Linked DNA regions of Xenopus tropicalis. The protein of the gene in region 2 binds, or shares a complex with, the protein of the main gene of each other region. Links are inferred from orthologs where the notes say so. Each region holds a gene or a part of one and is shown on either strand. Other genes may lie near its edges. The genes, in order: fzd8 and lrp5.

Region 1 (16,766 bases), on a different chromosome or scaffold from region 2:
ACATTTCTTCATTCTTCAGTCAAGGCAAAATTATTGATAAGTTACTCTTTTTTTTGCATTTTCTGCTCTAATCTGATTTATTTTTGCTTCCATTCCTACAAATCAGCAGTAAAGCCACAAAGAAATGTCAGGTTTGGCGACAGAGTCTGCTCCTCTCTAACATTTCCCAATCCACCTTGACCTTTGCAAATTGTGTTTGGAAAGGTGCCGAGCTTTACACAATCCTTTACTTACCCTTGAAATAGCAGACAATGTTTCACTGAATGATTTTCCTATAATACCCTATGGCTGCTGGGGTGGCATGGGGGGCAGTGTTGGACTGGCCCACCAAGATACCAGGAAAACTCCCGGTGGGCCCAGGTGTCAGTGGGCCCTCCTGCTCCTGACTATTTGGTCTGTTTCATGGTCATTGCCTATTTCTGATTGGGAAGGAAGAGTATAAATAGATGGAAGAATAGATGCTAGCATGTAAATACAAGAGACTAGGAGAATAAAGAGGTTGGGCGAGGAAAGGAGAAAAAATAGTTTGGAGAGTGGGCTTAGGGTCTAAGGTTTTCTGGTGGGGCCCTGGGGTCCCAGTCCGACACTGATAGGGGGCCCAGGGAGTGGCCCTTAGAGTGGCCCTAAAATGATCTTGCTGTGGGGCCAAATACCTTCTAGCTGTGCCAGGGAAATACTTCTCTTCAGTGAATCCGGCCTGTGCCTTTATTTGGACGCGGCGTATCCAGCCCTGTGAATATGTAGAAGCCATGGAATATCTCAAAGCACTGAGGAAACCTCTCCAGCTCTGCTAATATTGGTTTAATACAATGTGCCCCTGAATGGGCTGACATTCCTCAATCACAATTAGGTGAATATAAAGAGAAAAAGAAACCCCCAGTGTTGTGTTGTAAGAATTCCGCAGAGACTAATTCTCCCTGAGCCCATTCATTACCAAGATAACGGCGCCCAGATAAACTCACTATACAAGTCGCCTTATCAGCAGTTTAAACATTTACTCTGTGAGGACAGTTTAATATTTACTAAAAGTCTATCCTTCTTTCTTGGGCAAGTGCTGGGGCTGCAGATAGGAACGGCTGCCTGTGTGCGACTTTCCAGGCTCAGCTCATTCTCACTATGGTTCTCTATGGCAGGTGCTACACTGATACAGACTTACTGCTGCCCCACATTGTGCCCCTGTATTAAGATACTTACCTTCCCAGTGTGTAATGCACAGGCCATTTTGTAGGATTGAAGAAATGTTTTTAGCTCAGCTTAACTTCAGCTATTCACAATGGGGTTGCTCAGTAACCACTAGGCAAACACTAAGTCTAAAAGGAACAGTGTGTCTGGGATTATCTAAAACTATGAAAAAAAAACTGTGTTGCAATGGACCTGACCCCCACAGCCGACTCTTATCCATCTCTCCCTACTATACCTGCTATCCCTCAGCCCCAGTCCCTTCCCAGAGGCTATTATCCCCCCACTGCTACTATAGGCACCATCTCTCCCTACTATACCTGCTATCCCACAGCCCCAGTCCCTTCCCAGAGGCTATTATCCCCCCACTGCTACTATAGGCACCATCTCTCCCTACTATACCTGCTATCCCACAGCCCCAGTCCCTTCACAGAGGCTATTATCCCCCCACTGCTACTATAGGCACCATCTCTCCCTACTATACCTGCTATCCCACAGCCACAGTCCCTTCCCAGAGGCTATTATCCCCCCACTGCTACTATAGGCACCATCTCTCCCTACTATACCTGCTATCCCTCAGCCCCAGTCCCTTCCCAGAGGCTATTATCCCCCCACTGCTACTATAGGCACCATCTCTCTCTACTATACCTGCTATCCCACAGCCCCAGTCCCGTCCCAGAGGCTATTATCCCCCCACTGCTACTATAGGCACCATCTCTCCCTACTATACCTGCTATCCCACAGCCACAGTCCCTTCCCAGAGGCTATTATCCCACTGCTACTATAGGCACCATCTCTCCCTACTATACCTACTATCCCACAGCCACAGTCCCTTCCCAGAGGCTATTATCCCCCCACTGCTACTATAGGCACCATCTCTCCCTACTATACCTGCTATCCCTCAGCCCCAGTCCCTTCCCAGAGGCTATTATCCCCCCACTGCTACTATAGGCACCATCTCTCCCTACTATACCTGCTATCCCACAGCCACAGTCCCTTCCCAGAGGCTATTATCCCACTGCTACTATAGGCACCATCTCTCCCTACTATACCTGCTATCCCACAGCCCCAGTCCCTTCCCAGAGGCTATTATCCCACTGCTACTATAGGCACCATCTCTCCCTACTATACCTGCTATCCCACAGCCACAGTCCCTTCCCAGAGGCTATTATCCCCCCACTGCTACTATAGGCACCATCTCTCCCTACTATACCTGCTATCCCACAGCCCCAGTCCCTTCCCAGAGGCTATTATCCCCCCACTGCTACTATAGGCACCATCTCTCCCTACTATACCTGCTATCCCACAGCCACAGTCCCTTCCCAGAGGCTATTATCCCCCCACTGCTACTATAGGCGCCATCTCTCCCTACTATACCTGCTATCCCACAGCCCCAGTCCCTTCCCAGAGACTATTATCCCCCCACTGCTACTATAGGCGCCATCTCTCCCTACTATACCTGCTATCCCACAGCCCCAGTCCCTTCCCAGAGACTATTATCCCCCCACTGCTACTATAGGCACCATCTCTCCCTACTATACCTGCTATCCCACAGCCCCAGTCCCTTCCCAGAGGCTATTATCCCACTGCTACTATAGGCACCATCTCTCCCTACTATACCTGCTATCCCACAGCCACAGTCCCTTCCCAGAGGCTATTATCCCCCCACTGCTACTATAGGCACCATCTCTCCCTACTATACCTGCTATCCCACAGCCACAGTCCCTTCCCAGAGGCTATTATCCCCCCACTGCTACTATAGGCACCATCTCTCCCTACTATACCTGCTATCCCACAGCCCCAGTCCCTTCCCAGAGGCTATTATCCCACTGCTACTATAGGCACCATCTCTCCCTACTATACCTGCTATCCCACAGCCCCAGTCCCTTCCCAGAGGCTATTATCCCACTGCTACTATAGGCACCATCTCTCCCTACTATACCTGCTATCCCACAGCCCCAGTCCCTTCCCAGAGGCTATTATCCCACTGCTACTATAGGCACCATCTCTCCCTACTATACCTGCTATCCCACAACCACAGTCCCTTCCCAGAGGCTATTATCCCCCCACTGCTACTATAGGCACCATCTCTCCCTACTATACCTGCTATCCCACAGCCCCAGTCCCTTCCCAGAGGCTATTATCCCCCCACTGCTACTATAGGCACCATCTCTCCCTACTATACCTGCTATCCCACAGCCCCAGTCCCTTCCCAGAGGCTATTATTGCCAAATATCTTAACTTCGCCCCATGACTCTATGTAGATACTGCTCAATGGTATAAAATGATTTCTTGCCACACTCCATTGCCAACTACAACTCCCTGCCTCCCGCCCAAAGCAAAATGTACGGTGCAAGCTGGGAACTTGGATTCACAACAAGGTACAAAACATAGTGGGAGATGTTGAGCACAGCTGGAATCCCACAGGCTTGACAACCCCCCATATGGTATATAAACAATAAATATTCAGTGCAATTCAAGTGGCTTTTAAGGAGGCGCGCTGATGTCTCTTAACCATAACAACCATCAACACATATGGTTTTAAAAGCAATTATTTTTTCAGCGCGCAGGTAATTAATGATTGCACTCCTCACTTCCTGCTTAGGGGGTCACAGGAAAACAAAAGCAGAAAATGAAGAGTGCAACGGACAAATGCCCCCCCGCCCCCCAGCTTTAAATGGAACACCGATCTCTTTATTAGAAGAACAACTTGCAGTTCATTATTGAGTCCCCCTTAATGAATAATAAAACAGCAGAGTCCCTTTGGCACAATGTGGCGGTGTCACAACCTTTGGGCCTGGGTGTCATGGCGGCTCTGGGGTCTGGAGGGGACACGACTAAACTAAACAAATAGCAATCCCAGCAGTGAGAGAGAGTGCAAACCCTGCCAGCCCCGATGATGGATGTCATTAGGCGAGGAGCTGCCATTCCTGATGCAGACTGACAGGCTAATAAGAGTCCTAAGGGCATATATGCACTCAAGGCGCACATCCTCCTATCCATTATTCCTAATTCTTCACAAAAAAAAACACTAGCGATAAGTATCAGGAATGGGAAACATGCTGGATCCCCCCCCCCGAACAGAAACCTTCTTAACAAAATCTGCTCCAATAATAGCCAGGGAATTGCTTCAATTAGGGAGAAAAAGCAGGAGAGAGGAGAATTTTTGTAATGATATTGTCTGGCCAAAAAAAAAGAAAAAGGGGGAAAACTTCAAATTGGGGGATTATGTGAGCAGACCACCTGTAGTGCATTCTTGCTGCCTTTTCTTCCCTCCCAGCTTATGTCCTGCTGCCTGCCGTCTGCCTAACAATGTGGAAGAAGCTTTCTTTTATACGACCGTCCTCCATCCCTTCCCTGCCGGCCCTCACTAACTGTTACAATTCTCCTCCGGATGCCAAAAAAAACATAAAGTGCCCCAATGTCTTTCATTGAAAGATTCGAGGCTCTGCGGTGGCCCAATTGCTCCTCGGCACAAAGGGGAGGGACCCGGGGACACAAAAACTCCATGTTTTGGAGATCAAAGTTTGTAGGACTCAAAGGACGGGAGTTCCCTACAGATTAACCCCATTCATTTGGTGCCTCACTTATTGGAGGGGCCACGTCCTCAACCACTAGGGACAGGTATAGGGTTCATCTTCTTTTACTAATCAGCAGCCCCCCCACTCCAATAAATGAGCCTACACTTTATAGGGGCCCCAGGTATTCTTTCCCCTGCATGCCTCATAGGGAATGATACGTTACCACTCTTAAAGGAACAGTGAACACAAAAATAGATAGATAAATAGATAGATAACTAAAATATAAGTTGCTTGTAGATAGATAGATGAGATAGATGGTAGATAAAATGAGAGGTTACAACTGTTAAAGGCACATTGAAAATATAAGTTTCTTATTGGTAGATAGATAGACAGATGATATGAGAGATAAATAGATAATAGAGGGACATTGAACACTAAAATATAAGCTACTATCTATTCATAGATAAATGATAGACAGAGGATAGATAATATGAGAGTTTACCACTTTTAAAGGGACATTGAACAGTAAAATATAAGTTGCTCATTCATACATAGATAGCTAGATAGATGATAGATAGATGATAGATAGCTAGATAGATGATAGAAGTAGATATAAGATAGACAGATAGATAGATAGAAGATAGATAGATGATAGATAGATGATAGATATATATATATATAGATGATAGAGGTAGATATAAGATAGACAGATAGATAGATAATAGATAGATGATAGATAGATAGATAGATAGATATATATATAGATAGATATATATATAGATAGATGATAGATAGATGATAGATAGATGATAGATATATATATATATAGATGATAGAGGTAGATATAAGATAGACAGATAGATAGATAATAGATAGATGATAGATAGATAGATAGATAGATAGATAGATAGATAGATATATATATAGATAGATGATAGATAGATGATAGATAGATGATAGATAGGGAAGCAGTGGGAAACATATTTTCATGTTAACATTTTCAAAATATAATGGACCTTTTCATAGGTGAAACTACAAGGAAAAAACAAGACTTTTGCTCTCCCCACTTCCTGTTGTTTCCTGTCAGGGATAATGAGAAGTGCAAGAGACAATATCTTCCCCCAGCCTGATGAAATTAAAGGAACAGTAACACCAAAATATGAAAGCTTTTAAAGTCATTCAAATATAATGTTCTATTGCCCTGCGACAGGTTTGCTTTAGGAACTCAACTATAGTTTATATAAATGTATAAACAGGTTCCATAGCATATAACACCATTGTATTCTACAGAGCTTATGCGTTATCTGCTATGTAACCTGTATCTTTTCTACTTTTTTCAGCTGGAATAGCTGCCTCTGTGTCTATACATCAGGGTATTTATATAAACTATAGTAGGGTTACATTAACAAGCATGCAACTTTTAAGGCTAGTGTTGCCTACCCTGTATTCTCAGGGGACCCTGGCAGGGGAAGCTTTGAGACCTGAAACACTGGTTTTGAATTAATTCTGCACCTTATTGTAATTGCCCTAATGCTGCAGGGCGTTTCACCATAAACAGCAAGACCCAAGTTTAGGTGCCGACCCACAGGCTACAAATGAATATGGAGCCAGCTCCGTGCATATACAGCTAATGCTACCCCAACCCATGCCATTCCCTAGCTTGTAAACACTTAAGATATTGGGCCCTGGGAAGGGGAGGGTTAAAACAAAAGTGTCCCCAAAGTCCTAGTGACAATAACACTGAATACAAACCATATTTATATGAACGATAGGAAACAGTTAAGCAGAAAAAAGCAGCGGAAATGTCATTTATATAAAAAATGGTCATTTTTATTGACAAAATAGAATACTCCAATATTTGCTCTTATTGAGAAGCCTCTATCCTTTATACAAAAGAAATGTACAGAGCATCATAGCTTTGTGCCTATGTACAGTATATTACACATTTTACAAGACAAATAATTATATAAATACATCCTATTATGGAAGAAACCCGTATTTAATTGGGGTACTGCTTCTTAATTAAGACATTTTATTCCATTTTTAAGGCAATAGTTTAGTTTTAGGAAGAAAAAAAAAAAAAAGCCAGGGCTGTCCAACCAGGGATGCTGGGAGTTGTAGTTAAAACAGGCTTGGTGGTTAATTCATAGAACCCCGTACCCTGCTGTTAAGACTCCCGCTATGCCAAGAAGAAATAAACATTATTCAGGCACAGTTGGCGGCACAAGTAGGGCTCACCCATGGGACTGGGGGGGGGGGGGGGGAAATGGCTGAGGACACAGCTAAATGTGATACGGAACCAGAATGACCCACAGCAGCAGCAGCAGCACAGATAGTTATTGCCTCTTTCCTTGTAGCCAAGGGGGCAATCCCGGCCCCTGCTTAGCTATAATTATCGCCTTCACAAATGCTCCTTGCATATAAATGGGAGAAATCAGGGAGGCTTCAATACCAGGTACATTGTCCGGACCAGTCATTCAAGTCCCTGCTAATGGATACCATTAAGAGTTCATTATCATGCTAATAGCAAGAATCTAAAGGGGGGGGGGGGCAAGTTGGGCGACGTTGGTCAGTCTTAATAAGTCTCAGGTCTGTCCCTCCCCCGCACCCCCCAGTATCTAGGTGTAAGGTCCATCCTGCAACCTTCCAGCTGTTGTGGAACTTCAACTCCCAGCAGCACTAAGTGGACACTGCTGGAAGTTGTCGCTCAGCAAGAGCTGAATGGGCCACAGGTTGGGCGCTGCCCAGGTAAGGGGACAAGAGTGTTAAGTTAAAACAGAACAATTTGCAAACCTCGCCTTAAGTCCACGTTAAACCTCCGTCTAGACCTGAGATAAGGGCATTTGTTTTGGGTAGGACACTGAGCTGCCAGTCCCAGATCTCCATGTCAGCCCGGTGCTAACGTCACTGTACATAGAGCCTCCAGTCGCTTTGCTGCCCCAACAGCAGCGGGTACAGAACGCCCTCCACGACTCCAAAGTCTTGCCCGACCAGATCCACACACCAGAGGTGATGCCAACCACTAGGCACATAAAGTACTTGAGCATGAAAACGGCATAGTCTGGTCGGCGGGGCTGTGCCACCTCTGGCTGGCACGAGTTACAGTTATGTGCCACCTCCCAACCCTGCCGGTTGTGCTGTTCATAGAAAAAACATGCCACCACGATGGTGGCCGGCACCGTGTACAAAACGCTGAATATCCCTATCCGGATCATGAGTTTCTCCAGTTTGTCAGTCTTGGTGCCCCCTTGTTTAATGACACTCCGGATCCTAAATAGGGAGACAAAGCCGGCCAGGAGGAACATGCTGCCAATGAACAGGTAGATGACCAACGGTGCCAACACAAATCCCCGCAAGTTGTCCAGGTTCTGATTGCCCACAAAGCAAATGCCAGCCACCGGGTCCCCATCCACTGAGCTGAGGGCCAGCACAGCAATAGATTTGATGCTGGGCACCAACCAGGCGGCCAGGTGGAAATACTGTGAGTAGCCAGCTATGGCTTCGTTGCCCCATTTCATGCCAGCGGCCAGGAACCAGGTGAGAGATAGAATGACCCACCAGATGGAGCTGGCCATGCCAAAGAAGTAAATCAGCAGGAAGACCAGGGTGCACAGCGCTGGCCCAGTGGTTTCATAGTGGATAATATGTTCCAGGTCCAACTCGCCACGGCTACAAGCCACCTTCTCATGGCCAGCAATCAGCCGGACCAGGTAGCCAGCCGAGACCAGGAGGTAGCAGGCAGAGAGGAAGATGATGGGGCGCTCTGGGTACTTGAATCGCTCCATGTCGATAAGGAAAGTAGATACAGTGGCAAATGTGGAGGCGAAACAAAGCACCGACCAGAGGCCGATCCAGAACTCGGTGAAGGTTCTCTCCTCCGGGCTGAAGTAGGGGTTGTGGCACGGCATGGCACAGTTCGGGATCTGCCCGGTCCGGACCCGGTTGTACAGGGGGTGCCTCTCGTTGGTTACCGGCACCATAGGGGCCCGACACTGGCAGCCCGGTTCGCACCCTGGTGCCCGGGGCCGGGGCCTTGGGGGCTCCACACGGGTCCTGCCCTTAGGTGCCGACCTGGCCGGGGGCTTGGGGGGCTCTGGGTGGCTGGGCGCCGCCGTGGTCTGCTCCGTTCGGTTGTAGTAGTCCATACACAGGGTGTCGGGGTTGCCCTGCTCGGGCAGACGATCACATCGCATGCGATCCGGCCAGGCGAACCCATACTGACGCATGAGGGGGGCACAGCCGGCCCGGGCCCGCTCACACACGCTCCGGCAGGGGGGCAGCGGCTTCTTGTAGTCCTCCAGGCAGATGGGGGTGTACATGCTGCACAGGAAGAACTTCAGGTCCGGGGAGCAGTGAATGACCACCAGCGGCCAGAACTGGTGCACCTCCATGCCCGCCTCGTCCTGCGTGTCGTGGTTGAACTGGTTGGGCATGTAGGTGTAGTTGTAGCCGATATCCTTGCACAGGGGCACGGTGATCTCTTGGCAGGACAGCTCCTTAGCGGCGGCGCATTGCGATCCCTGCAGCCAGGACACGGCCAGCAGCAGCAGGTACAGGCACTCCATGCTGCACGGCTCCACTCACAGCTGCGGGGGTCACTGCCGGGGGCTCATCCCCTCAACTCGCCGGCAAGTTCAGCGGGAAGGAACCAGTCCCAGTCGGAAGGGTTGTAAATCCACAGTGACAGCTTCCCTCGGCTTCTCACTGATGGGGCTACTAGCCCGGAGTGGCAATAAATCTATATTCCGGCACCTGGATGAATGTGCGCTTGTGAGCTGAGCGCTTGTGGCTGAGCGCTTGTGAGCTGTGCGCTACTGGCTGAGCGCTTGTGGGCTGTGCGCTACTGGCTGAGCGCTTGTGGGCTGTGCGCTACTGGCTGAGCGTTTGTGGGCTGTGCGCTTCTCTACAGGCGCCGCTCCCTTCCTTCCCTCTCTCTGCGCTCACTGGCGGCTCCCAATGAATATTTATACCGGGAGCGGTCAGATCCCACCCCCCCATCCCAATCCACTAATCCCCCCCGGAGAGAGGTGGGGCTGCTGCCTGAAGCAATCAACCTTACTAAAGGTGGTCTCAGCGTGTTTATTAGCGGCCCATTGTTATGCAGAGCCAAGGGATGTACCTTATTATAGAGAGCACACATCATTAGCCTGATGTATTTACTGAATGTGCAGCAGCCTAATAATCAGCAGCCTGAGAGACTGTCCCCATTCAGCCTGTGCCCCCCACTAGCTCCCTGGGAAATTCAATCAGGTGTCTGGGGGCCTCTCTTATACTGAATATAGTACTAAATATAGGGTATCATGTAAAATTAGCAGTCAGAACAATCATATCAATAAGTGCTGGTTTAATATTATTACAATAAATATGAATTATTAATTATTACAATTCCCCCTCATTAATATATATAATACATATATTGTATAGAATCCGAGAACTGCCTTTTGGGGGGAAAACTGGGGAGACTTGCCCTTGCTCTGCTTGCCTTGTTGCTTAGTGATGTCATCCATTATAGTCACTGGTTAGTGATGTCACATGGCTCCTGGGTTGGACTGGGCTCCCCATCACTAATTGTCTGTGGGTGCAAGTCCCCCCCTCCATCCCTGATCATGTCCATAAAGAGTGGGGTGGGGAGTCCCTGAGGTGGCAGCCCTGGGGGTCCCTGCACACTCCATGGCTCATTGCAAAGTTGGTTGGAACTAGGGGTAGGCAGAAGAGGCGCCATTAAGGTGGGGTGCGTGGTAGGGATTAATGGGTGAGAGCAAAGGGGAGCAAGAGGACCTGAAAGGTGAAAATGATGTGTGGAGTAAAGGGGGGACACATGAAACGGGGGGGGGGGGGGTGTACGTGCGCCAATAAAACTTCACCTGCTTCAGGTTTGTGTTATAAGGCTAATGTCACACTTAGGGGCAGATTTATCCAAATGTGAGCGTAATACATAAACCCACGTTCTATTCATTTCTATGGGATTTTTAGAAGCATAATTATCACTGGGTGAAAGTTAGAACTCCCCATTTGTTAAATTTGCTTCTAAAAATCCCATAAGAATAAACAGAACATGGGTGAGTTTTTATGTATTAAGCTCTAAACTCACATTTTGCTAAATCTGCCCCCAAGTGTGACATTAGCCCTAATGATGGGAATACAAGCAGAATGTTTACAAACCATACCTATATTTATATACATGGGAGCCATAATGCTCTAGGCAAGATTTGGCTTGAAATCAGACTGAATTGGGTACAATTTGGTTGTTATATGTTCTCTGCTCTGCTGGTTCTGACTCCTGAAACGATGTGGTAGAAGACAGTGACTATTGCTGTTTCAAGATTCAGAACCAGGAGTGAGTGCAGAGAACATATGCTGGGGGTGCTGGGATGTGTAGTTCAGCAGCAGCGCCACACTCACATTTATGAACTAAATACTTGCTCCTCCTTTAAGAACACCCATGCGTTTTTCCACCCAAGGGACGTATGCCACAATATGTGTTTATTTATGGCAAATGAGATGACGGCGCTGTAGACAGATAGTCTGGGAGCTCAGGAAATTGATACGCTATAGAGCATGCAAACAAGCAGCGCAGCCCACGAGTGAGTGAAATCCAAAGGAAAAATAGGAGGCTCGGCTATTGTGTCGGAACGTAACATGTTAAAACAGTTACTGAGTATCTTAGTTACTGAGAAAAACCCAGAGCTTAAGGAGGCTTCCCCCTTGCTACACAGTGGAGGGATGTTTAGCTGTTCTAACCGTGAGCTTACAATCTAATTGTATATATATATACCCACTAAGGATAAAGGAATGGTATCCTGGTCCTCCAAGCAGCCAATGTATTATTTTCTGTACATAAAAACCATGAAAATCCTTTATACACTGTTCCAAGTGTTCTAACTGCTAGGGTGAAGACACACAGAGATACTAGAAGCAGCTCTTTTCCGTGGCTAATAAAATAGACAATGCTGATCATTTACTGATAATCTATGTGTTTTCGCAGAGGCAATTCTCAGTATTGTCTATGGCAGAGTATTTTCTAGAGTCTAGTAGCTGTGAAGAAGTAGCTGCTACTAGTAGCTTAGTGTGTCTTCATCCTTAATGGTGAAGACACATGGAGCTACTTAGTAACAGCTACTTGTCACAGCTACTAAACGCCAGAAAATCCCCTGCCATAGACAATACTGAGAATTGCCTCTGCTAAACCACACATAGGGACAGTTATCAGTATTGTCTTTTTTAGTATCCGTGACAAGTAGCTGCTACTAGAAGCTCTGTGTGTCTTCACCCTAAAGTGCAACAGCAACTCAAGGGCTACGGGTTGAACATCAGTGCAATAACAGTTGTTATACAATATAACATATTTTCTAGGTTTTCTCATGAGTGACCCCTGTGGTGCTGAGGGCCTAGAGCCAATGTAATTCCCTAAAACCTGCCCTGGGTCGGTACCAGTAAACAACTGTGGCCAATTCACCCTCGCAGTGCCGTGCAGGGGTAAAACCTCGGAGTGCACCACACAATATGTATATGTTTATTCCTACAGTCCTGTTTGTATACACAACATTGTGACTACACGAAGGAACCCGCTTGCATGCACCCATTTACACATTTTCTTTGATAAATAATCCCTCATTTATTAATAAATACACCCATCTTTGTCTCCCTTTATGTGACTCCGTGCCCATGGCCCTGTATGGGCACATCTGAGAATATTCACTCCCCAGAATAAACAGTTCCACCCCTCACCTGAATCCCCCGGGATTGTCACCAACTCACATGAGCCCCAAACATATGCTAATGGAGTGAAAACAAGGCTGCAATGTACGCAATGTGTATTAGCCCACATTATAACATCACAATATATATTGCTCTCAATACACCACTTCCACCTATTCTATTGTGAGATAAAACATCCAAACATCTAGACGTTCCCCTTTACCAATCATATTGCTCTCAGATAGTACATGCGTACATAGTACATACCATTTACAGTGTGATACATTAGCTGGGGGCACCTGCTGGTGAGAAATGCCAGCGACTACTCCATAATATTGTAACAAGAGAGTTGTGGAACAGACATACTGAGCTGCTCCTGGGGAAGGGCACTTGGGTTTAATTAATTGAAAATATGTGAAAAAATGAATAACTGTGGTCTATTTTTGAAAGCAATACATTTTCATGAAGAGGAGGTGGCTCTATAAAAATAAACTTGGTATAAAGGCCTATATGAAGCACATATACTGTATATATATATAAAGTCATTAATATAGAGCAGGTTTATAAAGGAGTAAATCACAGGAAAAAACCCAATGCCTGTGGTTTCTGGAAACAGCTGGAATTGTAACCTAAGCCCTTAGTTAGTGAAAGTGCACGGCCAGAGAGGCATCTGAAATACACCCTGGCAGGAAGTATACAATAAAAAGAGGGAATAAAAAATAGTCCTTTCCGTGCAATGAAAAAAAAGCACTAAAATATATTCTGCTCATAAAATATTTTTTAATCCAATATGCTGCCTTCGTGGTGTTGCCGAACTGCAACCCATAGTAACAAAAGTGTGTGTGCATCTCAGTGTATATACAGTGTCGGCCTGGGGGGACCAGGGCCCACCAGTGCTGCCACCTCAGGGGCCCCCCTGTCCCAGTTGTGAGGTCCTTCACATGTAATACCTGACGTAGCAACCCCTTCCCTCCCCCACTCATGAGTGGAGGGGCGGGTTGGGGGGACACCCATAGTTTCAGTTGGGAAGAGTCTGTGGGGCCCATGGTGTTTTTTCCAGGTGTCTGGCCAGCCCAGTCCAATCCTGCCTACAAATTTCAAATATGTTGATTTTATTAAGTTACAGGCTAGCGATCCCCAAATCGTGGGGCTGTCCTAGTGTGGGGGGCCCAGAATAGATATTCATGGAAGCAGATAACAGCAACCCTTGGATATATCAGTCATCAGTCATGGGGTGCTCAAAGGTGGGGCTCGACCTCAGTCTGACAAACACTGAGCTAAGGTCTTCACATTTTTTGGGGGTGCAGATAAACCAGGGTGATGTTATGGTTACTTTATGTTTGTTACTGGTACTACTCATTGCAGCAGAGGTGTCTAATGCTATCACTGAGATTATCCCCCGTGTAATCATTAAACTAATCAATCAGCCGCCAGCAGATAAGCTTAGGGGCAGTGGTAAATAAATCTCTCACACCAAGGTCAGCCCGAAATCCCTGCAGCTGCTAATAGGTTATGATGACAAGTTACTGCACCCCACAACAAAATGTTTCTATGGTGCCAAGGCCGTGTATAGGAAAAAAAATATATATACACATTGCAGGGGCCCATGAGCCTTTGATACTAGTGGGCCCCAGAAGCCACTATGAATGCTGCTCCTCTTGGCTCTCTCTGGTATCCCCCTCTGATACAAAACTGCGGGCAAAGCACCCTAAGAAAAATTTCCTAATCCCCTGTTGTGCTCATTCACTAAGCACTATGCACCTTGCACCCTTAAAATCTGCTACCCAAGACAGTCCTTCAATTACCACCTGGCATAGGGCAGTAAGAACAAACCTCCTTTGCACCCACCAGCACCCTGCATATTATTATTATTAACAATTATTTATAAAACGCCAATATATTCCGCAGCCTTGTACAATAAGTGGGTTTCATACATTGGACATACAGAGTAACATATAAAGCAATCAATAACCGATACAAGAGGTGAAGGGGGCCCTGCCCAAAAGAGCTTACAATCTACAAATATGCTGGCAGAGCCCACCCCTTGTTAATAGAGTGTTGACGAACACAGGCAGTGCTGTAATCATCTTGAAAAAACTGTCCCGGCGGGTGATGAAGGTGAGACACGGTGCAAAGTGTCATAAAAACACAGCTTGCACTTGGGTCAGACTGGTGCTGCTACTGCAGGGCCCCCCCACACAAACTTTTTTTTTGCCACAATCCGGGAAGGGAGGGCAGTGGGGGAGTGACAGGGAAGACAGATATCGATTTTGGGTAAGTGGGGCCCACTAGATTTTTTTACTGGTGTCCCTCTGGCCCAGTCCAACACAGGCATGCACCTGTTTATTGCACTTTGCCCCCTAGCCTGCCGTTCCATGAACCCCTCTGTTTTTTTGCACTTTGCACCTTGCCCAGTGGGTCGTGCCAGAATGTTCAGCTCTTTGCCCTTCCTAGAATGGAACCCAAAGAGGTGCACCTTACTCAAAAACACAGAGGCATAAGTGGTATATTGTGTGAGATTGCATGGCATTCAGACGCACCAGCTAGGGAATGCCAGGGGCTGCAAGGTGCAGGATAGCCACACACTTAATGCTAGCCAGTACCAAGCTGCACAGACTGTGGCCCCAGTGCAGCCGCAGACCCCCCCACATTTACCACTCTCTATAGTTAAGGAATTGATTGCTTATAGAAACACATCAACAGTTAGCACTTCATCCTGCAGGCAAGCTTGTAGTTCTGCCGTGTCAGAAATTCCATTAACACACAAGTGTCCAATTAGTCTTAGCACCTAAAAACAAAGAAAGCAAACGAATGACATGATTATGTATTTCTGCCAATCAGCCCTTTCCATCTATCCTGCTGATGGCCCCCTTTGCATATAATGAAGCAATTAGGCTTTGTTTATACAAGCGATTTGGCCGGTCAGAATTTTCTGGACTGAAAAGCTCATGTCAAAAAAAAAAAAATCTGGTTTGGATGAATACAGAGGCATAGCTGGAGGTTTAGCGCAGCTACTGGTATCGCCTGCCTTGGGGATGTGCCACCTGCGCTCCGCCAGATGTTGCTCCGATACAGAAATGGGCTTCATTGGCTGCGTTCAGGCTGCTGCTGAGCCTCAATTCCCAGGATTCCCAGCCAGACAAGCTGCTGCTCAGAGAATCACATTTACTATTGATTTGGACAATATTATAAGGAAGCCTCAAAACTAGCTAAAATGTCTGTATATAAGCATGTTTGTAATTTATAAATCCACCAGTAATTATGTCATAGTCAGCGTATCAATGCCAAGTGCATGCTCTCGGTAATTAGGGAGACTTCTCTTTGTCTGGACTTATAATGGGGCTCAGTAACAGCAGCTGGAGTGAGAAATAGGGAACCCCATAAGCACCTTGTGACTGTGAGAATTGTAGGGTTTTTAGTGATGTCTAAACACTAAAAATTCATTTGTTTAACTGCATATCCCACTGCCCTGTGTCCTCTGAAGGCCAAGCAGACCGGTAGTGCTGGGGTCCAGTAAAATGCCAGTGCCCATGGATTGGCTACATGAGGTTGCAATGTGCAATGTGTCATTGTAGACGCACTTCGCCATGCCTTTTACCCACAATGCAGCATTTACCCGTAACCCATATGGCACTTATGCCCTGTGTATTTATACATATTTATTATAACACTTGTCCTGCCTGTGTGTAATTTTGTATATGTAAGATTGTACAGCGCTGCATATCCTTGTATCGCTTTATAAATAAAGTGTGCATTGTGCATTGTTATTGTGTTTGACGCAATTGCAGACCATTGCATCAAACCGAATGCAACTGTGGGTGCACATTTGGACAAATTCTAGTATAAAGTAGACAGAATTGCATCATATATGGTTTTCATAGTGCTATACCTAGCAGCTACCTACCTGCCGTGGCTTAACTATAGAGGATGCAGACCCTGCAGTTGTGTGGGGGCCCAGACCGTGGGGTCTGCTTTCTCTATAGCAGGGATCCCCAACCTTTCTTACTCGTGAGCCACAGTCAAATGTCAAAAGACTTGGAGAGCAACACAAGCACCATAAAAGTTCATGGAGGAGCCAAATAAGGGCTAAGATTGGCTATTAGGCAGCCTCTATGCACACTATCAGCTTACAGGGGCTTTATTTGGTAGGAAATCTTGTTTTTATTCAACCAAAACTTGCCTCCAAGTCAGGAATTCAAAAATAACTACCCAGATTGGGGACACTGAGAGCAACTGAGAGCTATTGCTGATACAACCAATAATAATCAATAGGTATTACTTATATATCCATTTATGGATAACGTGCGTTATTGAATGAGAACACAAACTGTGATTCTGGCTCAGAATACAAAGCCATTATACACAATT
Region 2 (16,134 bases):
TTTACCAGATTAGTTGCACGTCTCTGCACTCTCTCCAGCTCATTAATATCCTTCTTAAGGACTGGAGCCCAAAACTGCACTGCATACTCAAGGTGAGGCCTTACCAGGGACCTATAAAGGGGCAAAATTATGTTCTCATCCCTTGAGTCAATGCCCTTTTTTTATACAAGACAGCACTTTATTTGCTTTAGTAGCCACAGAATGACACTGCCTGGAATTAGACAACTTGTTATCAACAAAAACCCCTAGATCCTTCTCCAGTAAGGATACCCCCAACACACTACCATTCAGTAGATAGTTTGCGTTTATATTATTTCTACCAAAGTGCATAACTTTGCACTTATCAACATTGAACCTCATTTTCCAGTTTGCTGCCCAGTTATCTAATTTTGTCAAATCGCTCTGCAAAGCGGCAGCATCCTGCATGGAACTTATAGTTTTGCACAATTTTGTGTCATCAGCAAAAATAGAAACAGTACTGTCTATGCCCACCTCCAGGTCATTAATAAACAAGTTAAAAAGCAAAGGACCAAGGACTGACCCCTGCGGTACTCCACTAACCACACTGGTCCAATTAGAAAATGTTCCATTTACCACCACTCTTTGTAATCTATCCTTCAGCCAGTTCTCTATCCAATTACAAATATTATGTTCTAGGCCAATATTCCTTAATTTGATCATTAACCTTCTGTGAGGTACTGTATCAAACGCTTTAGCAAAGTCCAAGTAGATGACATCAACTGCCATTCCAGCATCAAGGTTCCTGCTCACCTCCTCATAAAAGGCAACTAAATTAGTCTGGCAAGATCTGTTACGCATAAAACCATGCTGGCACAAACTAATAGTATTGTGAACTGCAATGTATTCAAGTACCCTATCCCTTATTACCCCTTCCAAAAGTTTTCCTACTACTGATGTCAGACTAACAGGCCTATAGTTTTCAGGTTGAGAACGGGATCCCTTTTTAAATAACGGCACCACATTAGCAATCCGCCAGTCTCTCGGCACCATGCCAGACCTCAATGAATCCTGAAAAATTAAGTGAAGAGGTTTGGCAATCACAGCGCTCAGGTCATTTAATACCCTGGGATGAATCCCATCCGGCCCTGGACCTTTGTTTACCTTTACATGTTCAAGTCTCTTTTGAATTTCCTCCCGAGTGACCCACGCGTCAGTAGCTAAATTACTAGAACTGGGCATATTACAAGGGAAGCCTTCATTTTCTGGCTCCTCAGATGTATAGACAGATAAAAAATAAGAGTTCAAAATTTCAGCTTTTTCCCCATTCACATCAACCAACTTACCCCCCCCATGATAATAAAGTTCCCACCCCTTCTTGCTTCATCTTTTTACTATTCACATAATTAAAAAATAATTTAGGATTCTTTTTACTCCTAGCTGCAATATATTCCTTTCCATTTCTATTTTAGCTTGCTTGATAGCTTTTTTGCATGCTTTATTTGCGTCCTTGTACCTGATGAAAGTTTCTGCTGTCCCAGCTAATTTGAATGCCCTAAAAGCACGTTTTTTTCTTACCAACCTCGACAATAACACTTTTATTCAGCCATAAAGGTTTTGCTTTGCGATGCCTCTCCTTGCTTACAAGGGGGATATACTGTTGTGTATACCTACAAAGCAATGTTTTAAAGATGTTCCATTTTCCTTCTGTGTCTAACCCCATGAAAAGCCTTTCCCAGTTGACACATTGCAGAGATGCCCTTATACTGGCAAAGTCTGCACGTCTAAAATTGAGCGTTTTAGTTACTCCCTTATAGAGTTGTCTCTGCAGCATTATCTCAAAGGAGACCATGTTGTGATCACTGTTCCCCAAATGCTCACCCACACAAATGTAAGAGATAAGTTCATTATTATTAGAAATCACCAGGTCCAAAATAGAGTCATTCCTAGTGGGTTCTTGAACCGCCTGAAATAAAAAGTTGTCATTTAGCATATTTACAAATGCAGTTAGAACTTACGGCTGCAATTCCTGTTGTTTGAGTCAAGTGTATAGTGAGAGGAGCAGCTACACTTGTATCCCTTTGGCACAGCCAAGCAGAGCTGACTGCAGTGCCCATTATTCTGCATGCAGTCATTTAAACCATCCTGCCTGGAAGAGTGAAAGACCAAGATATCCATCACAAAATCTAAGTGATCTTGTATCAAAGTGCGGTTGTTGCCATTTAACTTGTCTGCTCTTTCTATGCTGTGGAGATTCCAGTCTGTCCAATAGATATAGTCGCTGTATTGCGTTAGTCCAAAGGGATGAGGAAGGTCATCTGCAATAATCACTCGTTCCGCTCCTGGGAAATAACACAAGCACAGGTAAATGCCAAAAAGCCCTTACAAAACAAATGATGAGCATCAAAGCGGAACAATGAAAAAAAAGGCTTTCCTGCACATATTGTCTCTAAACCAATAATAAATATATTGCTTCTGTGAAGGCCACTAATTATCTGATTCTGAAGCCAAAAATGAAAAACCTTTGTAAAGGTCCCCATACACTATAAGATCCGCTCACTTGGCGATGTCACCAAGCGAGCGGATCTTCACCCAATATCCCCACCTATGGGTGGGCGATATCGGGGGGCATGTAGGCGAATTCGATCGTTTGGCCCTGGGGCCAAACAATCGAATTCTAAACGCTGCAATGGGGCAGTCAGTTCGGGGACCACATCAACGAGCCGATGCGGCCCCTGATCCGACTGGATTTTCTAACCTGGCCGATCGATATCTGGCCAATTTCAGGCCAGATATCGGTCGGCCAGGCCCCTTGGTTCTGCCCCTACACGGGCAGATAAGCTGCCGAATAGGTCCAAGGGACCGATATCGGCAGCTACTATCTGCCCGTGTATGGGGACCTTAAGTTACAGGTCCATACGGTGGTCGTTGTAGCAGTACTAGTTTAAGAGTGCTGAGTATTTTAAAAGACAAGGAAACTCTAAACCCAATAATGGGTCTATGGAAAGGCATACCTTAATACTCAGTTATAGTCTGCCTCTTTCAGTCAAACCGCTTAGTATAGAAAACAATCCCCACAATGCATCAGACCAAACGCATGCGCACATCACAGCTTTCCCAGTAGGCGCGTGAGCAGACAATCATCTTTGTGTGCATGCTTTCTTTATTGCGAGCAGGATCGCTTGTATACATTACCCCAGCTCAGCCCTCCCTCTCTGGGTGCCCTACAATCAAATTCAGCGCTGGCAATCCTGCTCACACGCTGCTGTTATCCAGAACAGCGCACAAGAAACTGCTACACGCAAGGTCAGCAGGTGGGGAGGTCAAACAGGACCATGTTAACAATGATGGCTAAATAAAGATGGAGCAGAGAGTGATAGAAGTGGTATTTCTTAAAATAAACATTGCGATCTAGTAAATGAAGGGGTGACAAGTTATTACCCCCAGTCATATCATCTGAAATAATATTTTAATTAAGCATGCCCCAGAAATAACCAGCCTCATATCCTTTTAATCTTTAAAGGAGAAGGAAAGGCTAATTAAGGGTTAATCTCAAGCTGCAGGCATACATTCAGTTGTCTCAATAGTGCCCTTAAGTCTCCCCATATTTCTCCCGTTCAGATGATCAGAAGCCTCATAGGAAAAAAAATGCTGAGCTGTGTAAAGATAGTTCCCATAATGCCTCACTCCTGCACCAAGACCCAGACCAGTGTACATGCTCAGTGTGTAAGTCTATGAGGAAGAGGGGAGAGAGCTGCATGTCTCTGGCACAGGAAAACAAAGAGACGACAAATCCTGTTTCTTATGATAGAGGGCTCAGTGCAGCGTTTCTGTAAGTGCTTATGGCTGTATTTAAATAGACCTTTCTGAAAAGCTTACTTTTCGGGTGGGCTAATTTGCACACAAAAAACAGAGGGTGCTAGTCTGGAGGGACTCATTGCATCCGACTCGAGTATAAGCCGAGGGTGACTTTTTTAGCACATTTTGGGTGCTGAAAAACTAGGCTTATACTCGAGTATATACAGTAGTAGTCATGTAAAACAAAAAAATGTGAACCAATTTTTACTGATAGGCCGAGAATCATTTAATCCACTGGCCTCTGCTCAGTCCTATGTCTGCACTCACAGGCACTGTACTTTGGATCTATTAAAAAGAATACTGATGCAGAAGTGCATTCATTCGTTTGGGGGGGGGGGGCACAACTTTGGAAACTTTGCTCTGAAACCTACCTGTGGCTTAAAGTAGCCCCGGTATAGAGTGGAAAAGTCAACTGAGGAGCTCACCTACAATTCAAATTCTCGGTTACAGTTGTGGTGGTGTGACTCCCATATGTTTGGCCACGTCACATCATGGTCACTAAGAAAAAAAAGGGGGGGTCCAGCACACACCAACAAAGTTTTGGTGTGTGTTGGGCCCCTTTTTTCTTACAGTGACCCTGTACAGAGATATCATAGGAACTCACCTTAAAGGAGAAAGAAAGTAAAACTAAGCAAGCTTTATCAGAAAGGTCTATGCAAATACAGCCATAAGCACTCACAGAAATGCTGCACTGACTTCTCTATAAAATGATTTCTTGTGTCTGTAATTCCTGTGCCAGAGACACGCAGCTTTCTGTTTTCTGCTCTCTCCTGCTACCCCCTCCCCCAAGAATGCTAAGAACTCACTCCCCGCCCCCCCCTTAGGAATGTGGATCTGAGCTAATCAGCAGGAAGCTGACACATGGTCTAACTAACTGAGCATGTACAGGGGTCTGGGTGTCTGTGCAGGAGTGCGGCATTATGGGAACTTTCTAATACACAGCTCAGCGTTTTTTTGTTCCTGTTTGGCTTCTGATCATCTGAACAAGTGAAATATAGGAGACTTAAGGGCACTATTGAGACAACTGAAGGTATGCCTGCAGCTTGAGATTAACTCTTTACTAGCCTTTCCTTCTCCTTTAAACACCATAGGTCCCAAAGCATAGCAGTAATACTTATTACATTACACAATGCACATTACATGTTGCAGTAATACTGAGTATATCTGACATTTCGACCACAAAGCATGCACTAAACGGTATATGCCATAAACCACATTTGGCTTCTGTTTCAAGTAGGCAGGATTGCTGCTCTTAATAGACATTTGTTCGCCTGTTTTCAAAGGGAACCCAATGCACTGTTTGGATGGGTGGGGTTGGCTTAAGAATGTTTTGGGAGGCAAACCTGTCGATGGTGTTAGGGGAATGTTTCTTACTATAGGCTGCACCACAGTATTGTAATGCCACCTACATCCTCTTGAAACAGATCGGTTTGGCAAACCAGCTGTGCTGACCAAATGGGGGAGGCTTTGAATTCCCAATTGAATTTTTCCCGGTGGCTGCAAGATGACAATGGCAATAGTAATTTAGAGGATCTTAGTAAACAGTATACTGGGCAACAAAGCTGATACTTTATCATTTACGCCACTGATCCTAAATACTAATTACAATTGTAGGTAGAAATTTCACTGCACTGAAAGGGATCGTGGAGACCCTAGTCAAGTCACACAGGGACCCATTCTGTGTTTATGACCAGCAGGCGCAGAGTCCCCTGCCTACCAATTGCCTTTCACAGTCGACCAGGGTTTTGAAGTAGAAGAAAAAAAAAAGTTTTGTTTTTGAATCCAAGTTAATTATTATTACATATGCTGCTTCAACATTCATGTCCAAGGTAAACGAAACTGGCCCAACAAGAAAGAGCTACAATGACCTTTGAATGAAAATCTGACCACATTTAGTTAAGAATGTCATCCATGATGGTAATTTTTTTGAAGGATCTACAATGTAGAGCATGCACTTTGTTCCACTAAAGCAGTGGTCCCCAACCTTTTTCGCTCCAAGGACCGGTGTCAAGTGTGAAAATTTTCCACGGACCGGAGGGGGGGGGGGGGGGGGGGGGTTTATACGCCCGATGCGTTCATTCGCATGTTCATCTGTGTATTCCTACGTTCGCCATTTTCCTACGCGCCTCTACATGCGCCCTGCATTGATCGGCGCGGTGCTTTTATATGCGTACTATTCAGGTGGCGCTTCGTTTACTTTGCATTTTTACCGCGGCCGGTAACAGAGGCGGCACACTAGAAAGAAGCCTGTGGCCCGGTACTGGTCTGCGGACCGGCGGTTGGGGACCCCTACACTAAAGAACATGAATTCTTTACAGCCAATAGGTTTTGCAGGGTCCCTCACCAAATAAAAGAAACTGTAGGTCTTACTGGCAGTGGAAGAGTTACAAGCTCAGCTATTTTTAAAGAATGAATTTAAGATGTATGAAGTCATAATATTCTCAGGCAGCCGCTGAAACCTGGAATTAGAAAACTGTACAAGACAACAGCTGGTATTCTGCTCAGTCCCACCACCCCCAGTCTGCTTTACAACTTTTCAAGATTCTGTTTCCTTCTGTAGGTTCTTTATTGCAACTATTTATTGTATATGTGCTTTACAACTTTTCAAGGTTAAGTTTCTATCCTTCTGTAGTTTTCTTTATTGCAACTATTTATTGTGCATGGGGACGTTAATGCATAAAACACATATATCCCCTCTTCTTAAAAAAATTGTATGGCTACTAGCATGAAGGAGCATATCAAGCCAATGGCAGCTAAACGTTATGCCACCTAGAATTCTATATTTATTCAGCAGAAAGCTTTACTATACCAGTGTAAAGAGCACTAAAAGCTCCCTCTGATAACAGCTGCCATTTTAGCTTGGTCTTGGTAGCTTCCTGCCACAGTTATAGCCGCTGGAAGCTCAGATCACACATTCCTAAGGGTGGGGAAGTGAGTTCTTATGCATTCTTATGGGAGGGGGGGAGCAGGAGAAGGGAAGGGGAGAGAACTGAGCAGACTTGTGCACTAAACCTGAAGGTTTAAAAGGCCCTAAAAGAGAGGAAGTCTGATACTGAAGAACATGTTCCCAAAAAAGGAGACAAGAAATACTGTTTATTTTGATAGAGGACTCAGTGCAGTGATTCTGTGAGTGCTTATGGCTGTATTTACATAGACCTTTCTGATAAAGCTTAGTTTTTACCTTTCCTTCTCCTTTAACTTAAATTTTCACTGAAAGTTGCTAGACAGAATTCTTGAAATACTGTAATTTAAGTGGGAACAAATAAGCATAAAGTGACGTTGTTGCCTGGCATTTTTTCAATCATACACATGAATGGTTTAGAAACAAAACCTTTCATATTGGTCATATTGATACAATAACACACAAGGGTTGGTGAAATAAAGGCTGTAAAGCTTGCTCCAATTCTAGTGACCCATAGAAACCAGGTAGCTCATAGAACAAAAACTGCAAATGATGACAAATGCAGCCTTTAAATTTGTTCTTGGCATCCCTGTTGTAGTTGCCACCTTAATTACCTAGCATGTTTGAAGATTCAATCATGTTTGTATCCAGGTCAGTCCAATACAGTCTTTGATCGGCGTAGTCAATGGTTAAGTCATTGGCTCGACCCACTTTATCAACCAAAATGATGCTGTTGGTCCCATCCATGTAGGCTCTTACTATTCTTGGTTTTCCTCCCCATTCTGTCCAGTACATGTAGCTAGAAAATACCCCAAAACCCACACATGTGAATATATTATTTATAAAGAAAGCAAAGAGTCATATAGAAAACAATCAAACTGTAAATATGCAATGCCTAGAGAATAATGAAACCTAAAACAAGGAACCAAAAGAGTACAGGTATGGGACCAGTTATCCAGAATGCTCAGGACCTGGGGTTTTCCGGATAAGGAGTCTTTCTGTAATTCAGATCTCCTACCTTAAGTCTGTTAATAAAATTATTTAAACAGTAATTAAACCCAACAGGATTGTTTTGCTTTCAATAAGGAGGCAAAACATACACATACAGAGAACTTTTGGACTGCAAGCTCCAGGGAGCATGGCCCTTTTTACCTCTTGTATTGGTTATTGGTTCTATTTTCGGATGTAAATATGTGATGTATACACCCATCTATTGCACAGCTGTGCCGAACATGTTGGCACTTTATCAATATGTGATAATAATAATAGGGTACAATTGCATGAGGATTGACAGACATACAGCAACACAATAATCCATGGTTAATACCTGGGGTGAAGAGTTATGGGTACTTTGGTTCTGTGCCCCTTTCTGCCTCACGCAGGGGCAAAGAAATAAGGTAGTGACATTACTATATTTCTCCAGATAATCAGACAATTCACTTATCCAGGCAAGCAGAATTGCAGAAGTTTAGAATTACAGTTCACTACTGAATAACTTGTTTTTAGGCTCAGTACAAGTCTAACATAGGAAACATGACGCCAACCCAATAGCTCACCTTAACTGACCTGCAGACTGGGCTTTTAAGAGCATTTAATAGAGAAAATAAGCATTCTTCCCATTTTTTGCTATAACTGTACTCCAGGCTGGGCCCCCAGGTTCTCCTCCCAGGGGGGATAATCACACAGATTAGGAACACCTAATGTAGTGCTTGTGCTATGGCTTTATAAACAAAACCCTGTGTGAGATTATGTGGAGTGCTTTAATGTACACATCTATATTTAATATACTCTTGAATACAGTCTTTTGAGGGGAAGGTAGGATTTCACTGCTTACCCTTTTGCTGGATCCAAAGCCAGGGATCTAGGGTTATCTAAATCTTTCCAGACCAAAACCTGACGATACAGACCATCCAGACGTGAAACTTCAATACGATTAGTTCCAGTATCTGACCAATAAAGGTTTTTGCCCATCCAATCAACTGCCATACCTTCTGGGTAATCCAGGCCAAACTCAATAACATGTTCTACGGAGCTTCCATTCATAAATGCCCTACTTATTGTCTGCAAAACAAAAAATAGATATGATTATTAGAAAGTAAAAGAGGAGGAAATATAGCTAAGAAACAGATATTTCGACCAATTGTAGGTTGTATACACCCTTTTACTGTTTTTCACAAAAGGCCACTCAGCAGACTGTGGATTTTGTTTTATTTAATGTTTTTTCCAAAGGAATAAATATTGCAAGATACCATAAATATGAATAAACACACACAACTTTCCCCATTTGTTTTAGTGGAAAATTATTCAAAAATAAAGTGGGGTCCAAAAAGAATTGATTTAGCGCCAGACTATTTTAACTGAGTTTGATGACAGGCTAAATAAAGGGTGGAGTTGTGGATGTAGATTATCTAGATCTTAGGAATGTATTTGGAACTCTCCCAGACCACAAGCGGAGGGCTTTAAGACTTGACACAAAGGAATTAAAACAATATGATTTTAGAAAAAGGGGATATTCACGTCACCTTATTGTAGGACCTATTCTAAGGAAATTTCCAAATGGTCTTCAGAATTTATTATGCATGGTTTAACAATTATTAGCCATCCTCTTCTGCCAAATTCCAGCCTGCACCTAAAATTCTATCTGGTTATCAGGGGCCACTGACCCTAAGTAACCAGCAAAAACAAATGAACTTGCTAGAGAGTCAATGTTATTGTTATTCTTAGTTTTAATTTTTATTTTTGCCTAGACCTTTACTATTCTTTATCCATTCTCATTCCCAGGCCTAAGTCTAAGGTTGAAGACACACAAAGCTTCTAGTAGCAGCTACTTGTCGTGGCTACTAAACCAGATAATGCTGATCATTTACTGATAATTGTCTCTATGTGTGTTTTAGCAGAGGCAATGCTCAGTATTGTCTATGGGAGGGTATTTTTTGGAGTTTAGTAGCCTTGAAAAAGTAGCTGCTACTAGTAGCCCATTGTGTCTTCACCCTAACGGTTGCAGAACAAACCACTGATTGCAATGCAAGTATGCTTGGTGGCTCACCCACAATTATGAGTTTTAACACTGCATCATGTGAAAACTCATCATGTGCAAATTCAGACCCATGCTAATAGATTGATCTGCTCAGAAGTAGAAGACTGACTTCAACACACACAGAGAGAGAATTATTTAAACAAGAAGCAACTGTGCACCAAGATATGGTTGATTAAATGTACCCCTCATTATGTTTAGTAGTTTATTGAGGTTCCAAAATAAAAGTCCGTGATTCATGTGAAATTCTTGATCTTTTGGAAAAGTTGATGAAAGCCAAGGTAAATATCCACAATTCTGAAGCGGATTCCATAACCATTACGTCTTGAATTCTGCATCTTCATTAAGTTCACTGTATGCTAGCTATGCTGAGAAAATCCGAGAAAATACCCGGTGATTCAGTTTCTATTGCCTCCAAGCTTAATGACTGGGTAGATTATTTAAACATTATGAGATTCTATAAGGGTCAGAAAAATGGAATTCAATCCAAATGTAGATTTCCATGGAATGGAAAGCATCTGTAGAAACTCTTCTGCTTCCTTGAGGTCTTTGGACCTTTCACGGTCCTACAGCCATAGGTAATGGGCTGTAAATAAAACACCCTTCTTCTATTTTGACTGATGACTAGTGTTGCTTGAAGGTTTTAAAGATTCCCATGATGGGAAAGAATGAGACACTATGCTCCAGTCTGAATCCTTGGCACCTATCGTTAAGACTAAGCAGATATGAAAAATATGTCAAAGTTATCACAAAATTTTTGGTCTTCGGCAGTGAGACTTATGAAAATAGTTTCATCCAGAAGGTAGTTTGGAAACCAAGGACCTGAAACAATTCCCATATAATTAGCTGAATAAGAATATACAGAATATACAAAGTAGCATTTATATGTTCTGAAGAGAATAACAACAAATCTGTTGTGCTAGAGAAGTTCAACCGTTGTTTTATGGCAGCTGTATTAGCACGAAGGCACATCAGCCCAGGGAAAGTTAAGACGTGCCCCATGTTAGTTCCCAGAGCTTTAGATTTGACTTTTAAGCCTCTGTTAAATAAGACCTGTCTGCCACAACAAGAAGCTTGGCCAAAAGCACAGAAGTAGGGGGAGCTTAAGAAGACCAGCCTGGAAAAGGTTTTCTGCACTACTTCATGGCTACTTCTGTTAGGAAGGATGAAAGTTCTACTTTGAAACAGGCCATAAACAGGAACTATCAGTTGGCTGACAATAGTGAAATAGTTTAAATATACCTAATACATGGATTATTAACCCCATTGGTGCACAATGTATTTTTCCTAAGTTTAGCTGGTAAAGTTGGACATAATATGTTCAACTGTTATCAAGCCGATAAGTAAAACTTGCAGCTAGTTGTACCTTCAAGGTGATATCAGTCCAGTACAATCTGTTATCAGATACGTCAAAATCAAGAGCAGATGCCTCTTTGACTCCTGTGAGAGGAATGGCCACATCATTGTTGTTTGTTTCCAAGGAAATCCTATGGATAGTTGCTCTGCTGGTAAAAACCAAGAAAGCTTCAGGAATAATGCAAGTCCTCATGTCGCTAAGTAACTCCAGTCCTATGGGGCAGGAACATCGTACTCCCCGGGGAGAAAAGAAGCATAAGTGGCTGCAGCCTCCATTATTGTCAGCGCAGGGATTGGTACCTATAAATAAATAAGCAAGCATTTACACAGAGTTTCGGCCCAAAAGACAATCTGATTCAAATGCAACAACATACAATGTCATAGCTGGGGGTTCTGCAATTATGTCTGATACATTAGCCTTTATCTGCAGGTGTCAGAGTATAAGGATTTTAAGAAATATATATAACGCTTTTATTGGAAACTTGTGGTGGGAACAGGATATATACCATCATCTTATGCCACTCCCAGGCAATCTTAGCTACAAATACTACTACTTTTAGTATGTACTGGGCTGTTGCCTTAAATAAGACATTCAAATTCATTTTAAGTATGTTATAAATGAACTTATTGTAAGCAATAGATTTCCTATTGGGCCTCGGCTAGCCTGCAACTGAAAATGCTGGTTGCCAGAGTCACTGACCATCAGGAATTAAAATACAACTGATTGGGTGGCATCAGTATTATTGTTTTTCATATTATATATACTTTCTAAAGCTTTTTCTTTTTGACTTAAAGGAGTGGCTCACCTTTAAGTTAATTTTTAGAATGTTATAGGATGCCCTATTCATAGCAACTTGGTTTTAATTATCTATTATTTTATAGTTATTGGAATCAAATAATTTGCCTTTCTCTTTTACATATTTTCAAATTTAAAGTGGGGGTCACTGACCCCAGCTGCAATTTTATTGTTACTTTTTATTGATTACTAGTTACTTTTTATTATTTATCTTCCTATGCAGGCCTCCTATTCATATTCCCATCTCTTGTTCAAACCATTGCCTGGTTGCTAGGGTAAATAAAACCCTAGCAACCAGATTTTAAAATATCAAACTGTGTAGCTGGTAAAAACCCATAAAAAAATGCAGATTAACTGCAAAGTGTCTCAGAATATCAATGTCTACATCACACTAAAAGTTAATCCAAAGGTGAACAACCCCTTTAAGACTATACACTGTTATATAAAAAGTATATATATACTTTATATACTGTTCAGCTTCTATTATGTTAAATGATCATTGTGTATAGGTAACAATACATACCAAATGTATTTGAGACACTTGCTGCTTTTAGACCCATTAGATCTGGGAGTTGGTCAATAATAATTTCTCTACTTGCTCTGACTTTGTGAACTCTCTCAATGCTTCGTCTCTGCCAGTCTGTCCAATAGATGTAATCTCCCAGCAACGTAAAGCCAAATATATGTGGAAGTTTGTCTTCCAAGAGAGTTTTCCGATTGCTTCCATCAACGTTGATAACCTTCAGTACAGTAAAGAGAAAAATAAATGAGATGCTGAAATGGAAAATATAACTTTTGAGAATAAGAAGTTTGAGCAGGTTAGAAGGTTGGGTACACTTAACAAGCTATTTACTCTTTATTTAATGGAAAACAAATTAATTCATTTTGTAATTGTTACTTTTTATTAATTAATTATCTTTCTATTTAAGGCATCTCTGAAATATGTTAAGTTGTTTCAGACAAAGATACTGAGCTCAATGTGACAACTAGCTCTAATACTAGTTAGACACAAACAATTTAAAGAAGCAGCCTCTATACATTAATTGCATATGTTACATGATTGTAGATATATTCAGCTTTTAATACAAATTGCATTTCAAACTGTTCACAGAAAAACTATTTGTCATTATTTGGGTGAATATCCCATTTAATAATACCTTAGTAAACATCACATATGCTTGAGTGCAGTTCCAGAAAACTCCTTAAAGAGGTTATCTATTAACAGATGCAAAGCTTGGTCCAGGTCTGTAACTCAACCAGATGTTTGCTTTAATTCTTCTATTTGCATTAGCAGACTAAATGCAACCTGATGATTGGTTAATATGCATTACTAGACCTGGGGCATAACTATAGAGGAAGCAGACCCTACAGTTGCAGGGGCCCAGGACTGTAGGTAGCCAAGTAAGGCCCTAATTATAGAGAAATTTCAATATATCTTGGTGGAATAGGTCAAGTTTAGTTAAGCCCCTGCCTGGAGCAAAGTGTGCACCAGTTATTACATTCCTAATACCTCTTGTAAATCATACATGAAATATGTCCTTATACTCCTACTGGGACTGAATATCAAAAATATGCCTATAAAATGAAGGAACTGTTTTACTAAAACAGAGATTTTGCTAGGAACCTGGTATATGCTTGTATTCAAAAAGTCGCATGCCAGCACCATTCCTAAGTGTTGTATTCTGTTTTTTTGTTATTATTATATGAGCCATAATTGAGATTCCAAATTCTTAGCAGCTGACCGAGACTGAAGAAGCTGCCAATCTGCCAAGCTTTGCACCAAATGTTTTGTTTTTCCAGGTCTATTTGAAGCATTGCGTGCCTCTTTTAAACTGTCCTGCTTAAGACTTGACTTGTTTATTAGTCTGGCAACTTTCTGTACAGAATCCATAACTGTCCTAATAAAGAATTTAAAGGGGCCTGTTAACAAAGAAGGTTTTAGCTTGGAAAAACACATGCACTACCTATTAAGTATCTAAATTGCATTTAATGTGTGCTTTAATTTCATAGAAATAACAGAATTGTTTTAATTGCAATTACTTTCAGGGAATTCAGCGCGACTGTGACTGCCTTAGAACCTTGTGAGAAGCTGCAGAGGTAAGTGCTGCTTTAATAAACAAGCAGATGGATGACCCTGCAACACCTTTTAAATTCAACATCTCTCAGAAATGCAGACACCCTCATTTAATCTGCTGGTACCACTCTACAACAAATGATGAAGTAATAAAAGTAAAAAATAGATAGATATACTCCCCTTTATGACATGGGCTCATTCAGTTGTGATTATATAGAAAAGGTGTAAAACACTGTTTGTGCGTTGCACAGAAAAAAATAAATTTATATTTATATCTGGAAGTTCAGATAGTGCTTATGCACCTTTTCTACATTAACCCCAACTGTATAAGTTGTATAAGTTCCTGTAAACCATGGGTGCCCATGGGTAGACCTCAAGGTGGAATACAGTGGGATGACATCCCGCCACTTTTCCCCCCCGAGCATACTGGAGCTTTTGAGTGTGGCTGCTCAAGCCATCCGTCTTTGTAGTTTCATCCCAGTATAGAAGATTGTCCCCACCGGGCCACTGTATACATTTGTTCCCACTTTATATATGTTTCTGTGTGCAGCCTACAAAGTGGGCCATGAAGAAGGGACACTACTACAATCCTTTCACATTAAACTTGAAGTTGGCATTTGAATAATGTTATATGGGCATTAAATGTGAATATGGCACTGCAGTTATATATTGCTATGTGTATTTGTTATTTTTTCTTGCTTATTGCGCTAAATGATAGACATCACACTATTTTAACTGTGATCTACTGTGATCTTTTAACTAGATCTCTTGATGGAGTCCAGGTGGCCAGCAAACCAGCATGTGTGTGACAGTGTAAGAGTCCTTTTTTGGGGACTTGCTGGCAAAAGACAACTCCAAAAGCCTCCAACAGCATACAGTCTAAAGCTGCTGGTAGTTATTCCCAGGATTTGATTACCATGACTTGGTAGTGATAGCTTGTTATTATTCCATAGCACACAGTGGTTAAGGAGGGGTGCTATGCAATTTTTATTCCGTTTTGAAGACCCTCCTTATTGGCCAAATAACTGCTCACCAAGTAATGCTGCCAATCCCATTGGTGTAGCAGTGACTTGGAGACTGCAAAGGTAACTGCTGCTAAGAAACATGAAGGTGAAGCAATCAAATACAGATATCGCCAGGGAAAGGACTGGGGGAGCTAAAGTTAAACATCGAGAGGGTGGTTATGTTTGTGGCTTATTTACATAATTGCAGCAAAACCAGCATTAGAGATTTTTTTCCTGTCGTACAATAACGCTGTGGTTCATGGCAGCCGACACAGCTGCTGAAATATCTGTTATACAATGATTTCCATATGTGAGACATGCAAAGTGGATGGCACACAGCAGTGATACAATAGCTCAGAAATACTCCAAACGCATTTGGACCTATAAAATATGGGTGGAAAAAAAGATACTTTGTAACAGAACTGTATTCAGCCAATTCACATAGGGCACATTAATACTTGATCAGACCTTCCCTCATGCCCTCTCACAAAGCCTGTTCCTCTATATTTTGTGTGCTGTAGCAGCACAGGCCTATTTAAAGGGGTTGTTCAGCTTTGACATAACTTTTTTAATGATGTAGAGAGCAATATTCTGAGATAATTTGCAACTGGTCTTTTTTTTTTTTTGGAATTATTTTACTTTTTGTTTGAACGCGGTCTTGTTGCTAGGGTCCAAATTACCTTAGCAAACAGGGAGTGGTTTGATTGAGACACTGGAATATGAGTAGGAGAGGCCTGAATTAAACATAAGTAATAAAAGGTAAATATAACAATACAATTGTATTGTCATAGAAAAATATTTTTTTGGCTGCTGCTGTCAGTGACCCCCATATGAAAGCTGGAAAGAGTCAGAAGAAAAAGGCAAATAATTAAAACTATGAACAATAATTAATAAAGACCAGCTGAAACACTGCTTAGAACTAGCCATTCTAGGACATACTTAAAGGAAACCACTCCTTCAATATTCACACTCAAGCACTTTAGATTGGCACCATAAGTAAGCGTGCAAATGCTGAAGAATGTAACTGGAATGTTTTCTGTGGGCCCCTTACCCCGACCTAAGGTCAGTGTTGCACATAATGCTAGATATAAGTATGGTGTAGTGCAACACAGCTGTGGTGCAGAAACCTTCTAGAGACGTCAGCCATGATGC

What was found.
Region 1: lrp5 (region 2) and fzd8 share a complex: the UniProt entries of both Homo sapiens proteins name them as parts of the wnt-signaling complex. The link is inferred for Xenopus tropicalis from reciprocal best matches to the Homo sapiens genes LRP5 and FZD8.

The regions. Positions count from the first base shown.
Region 1 is NC_030682.2:21,476,202-21,492,967, reverse strand, and holds fzd8 (frizzled-8 precursor), read right to left. Parts: upstream 9,628-16,766; 5' UTR 9,266-9,627; coding exon 7,523-9,265; 3' UTR 6,506-7,522; downstream 1-6,505. UniProt on the Homo sapiens protein: Receptor for Wnt proteins. Component of the Wnt-Fzd-LRP5-LRP6 complex that triggers beta-catenin signaling through inducing aggregation of receptor-ligand complexes into ribosome-sized signalosomes.
Region 2 is NC_030680.2:37,157,059-37,173,192, forward strand, and holds part of lrp5 (low-density lipoprotein receptor-related protein 5), read right to left. Parts: intron 12,645-16,134; coding exon 12,428-12,644; intron 11,409-12,427; coding exon 11,119-11,408; intron 8,780-11,118; coding exon 8,553-8,779; intron 7,518-8,552; coding exon 7,333-7,517; intron 2,301-7,332; coding exon 1,977-2,300; intron 1-1,976. UniProt on the Homo sapiens protein: Acts as a coreceptor with members of the frizzled family of seven-transmembrane spanning receptors to transduce signal by Wnt proteins.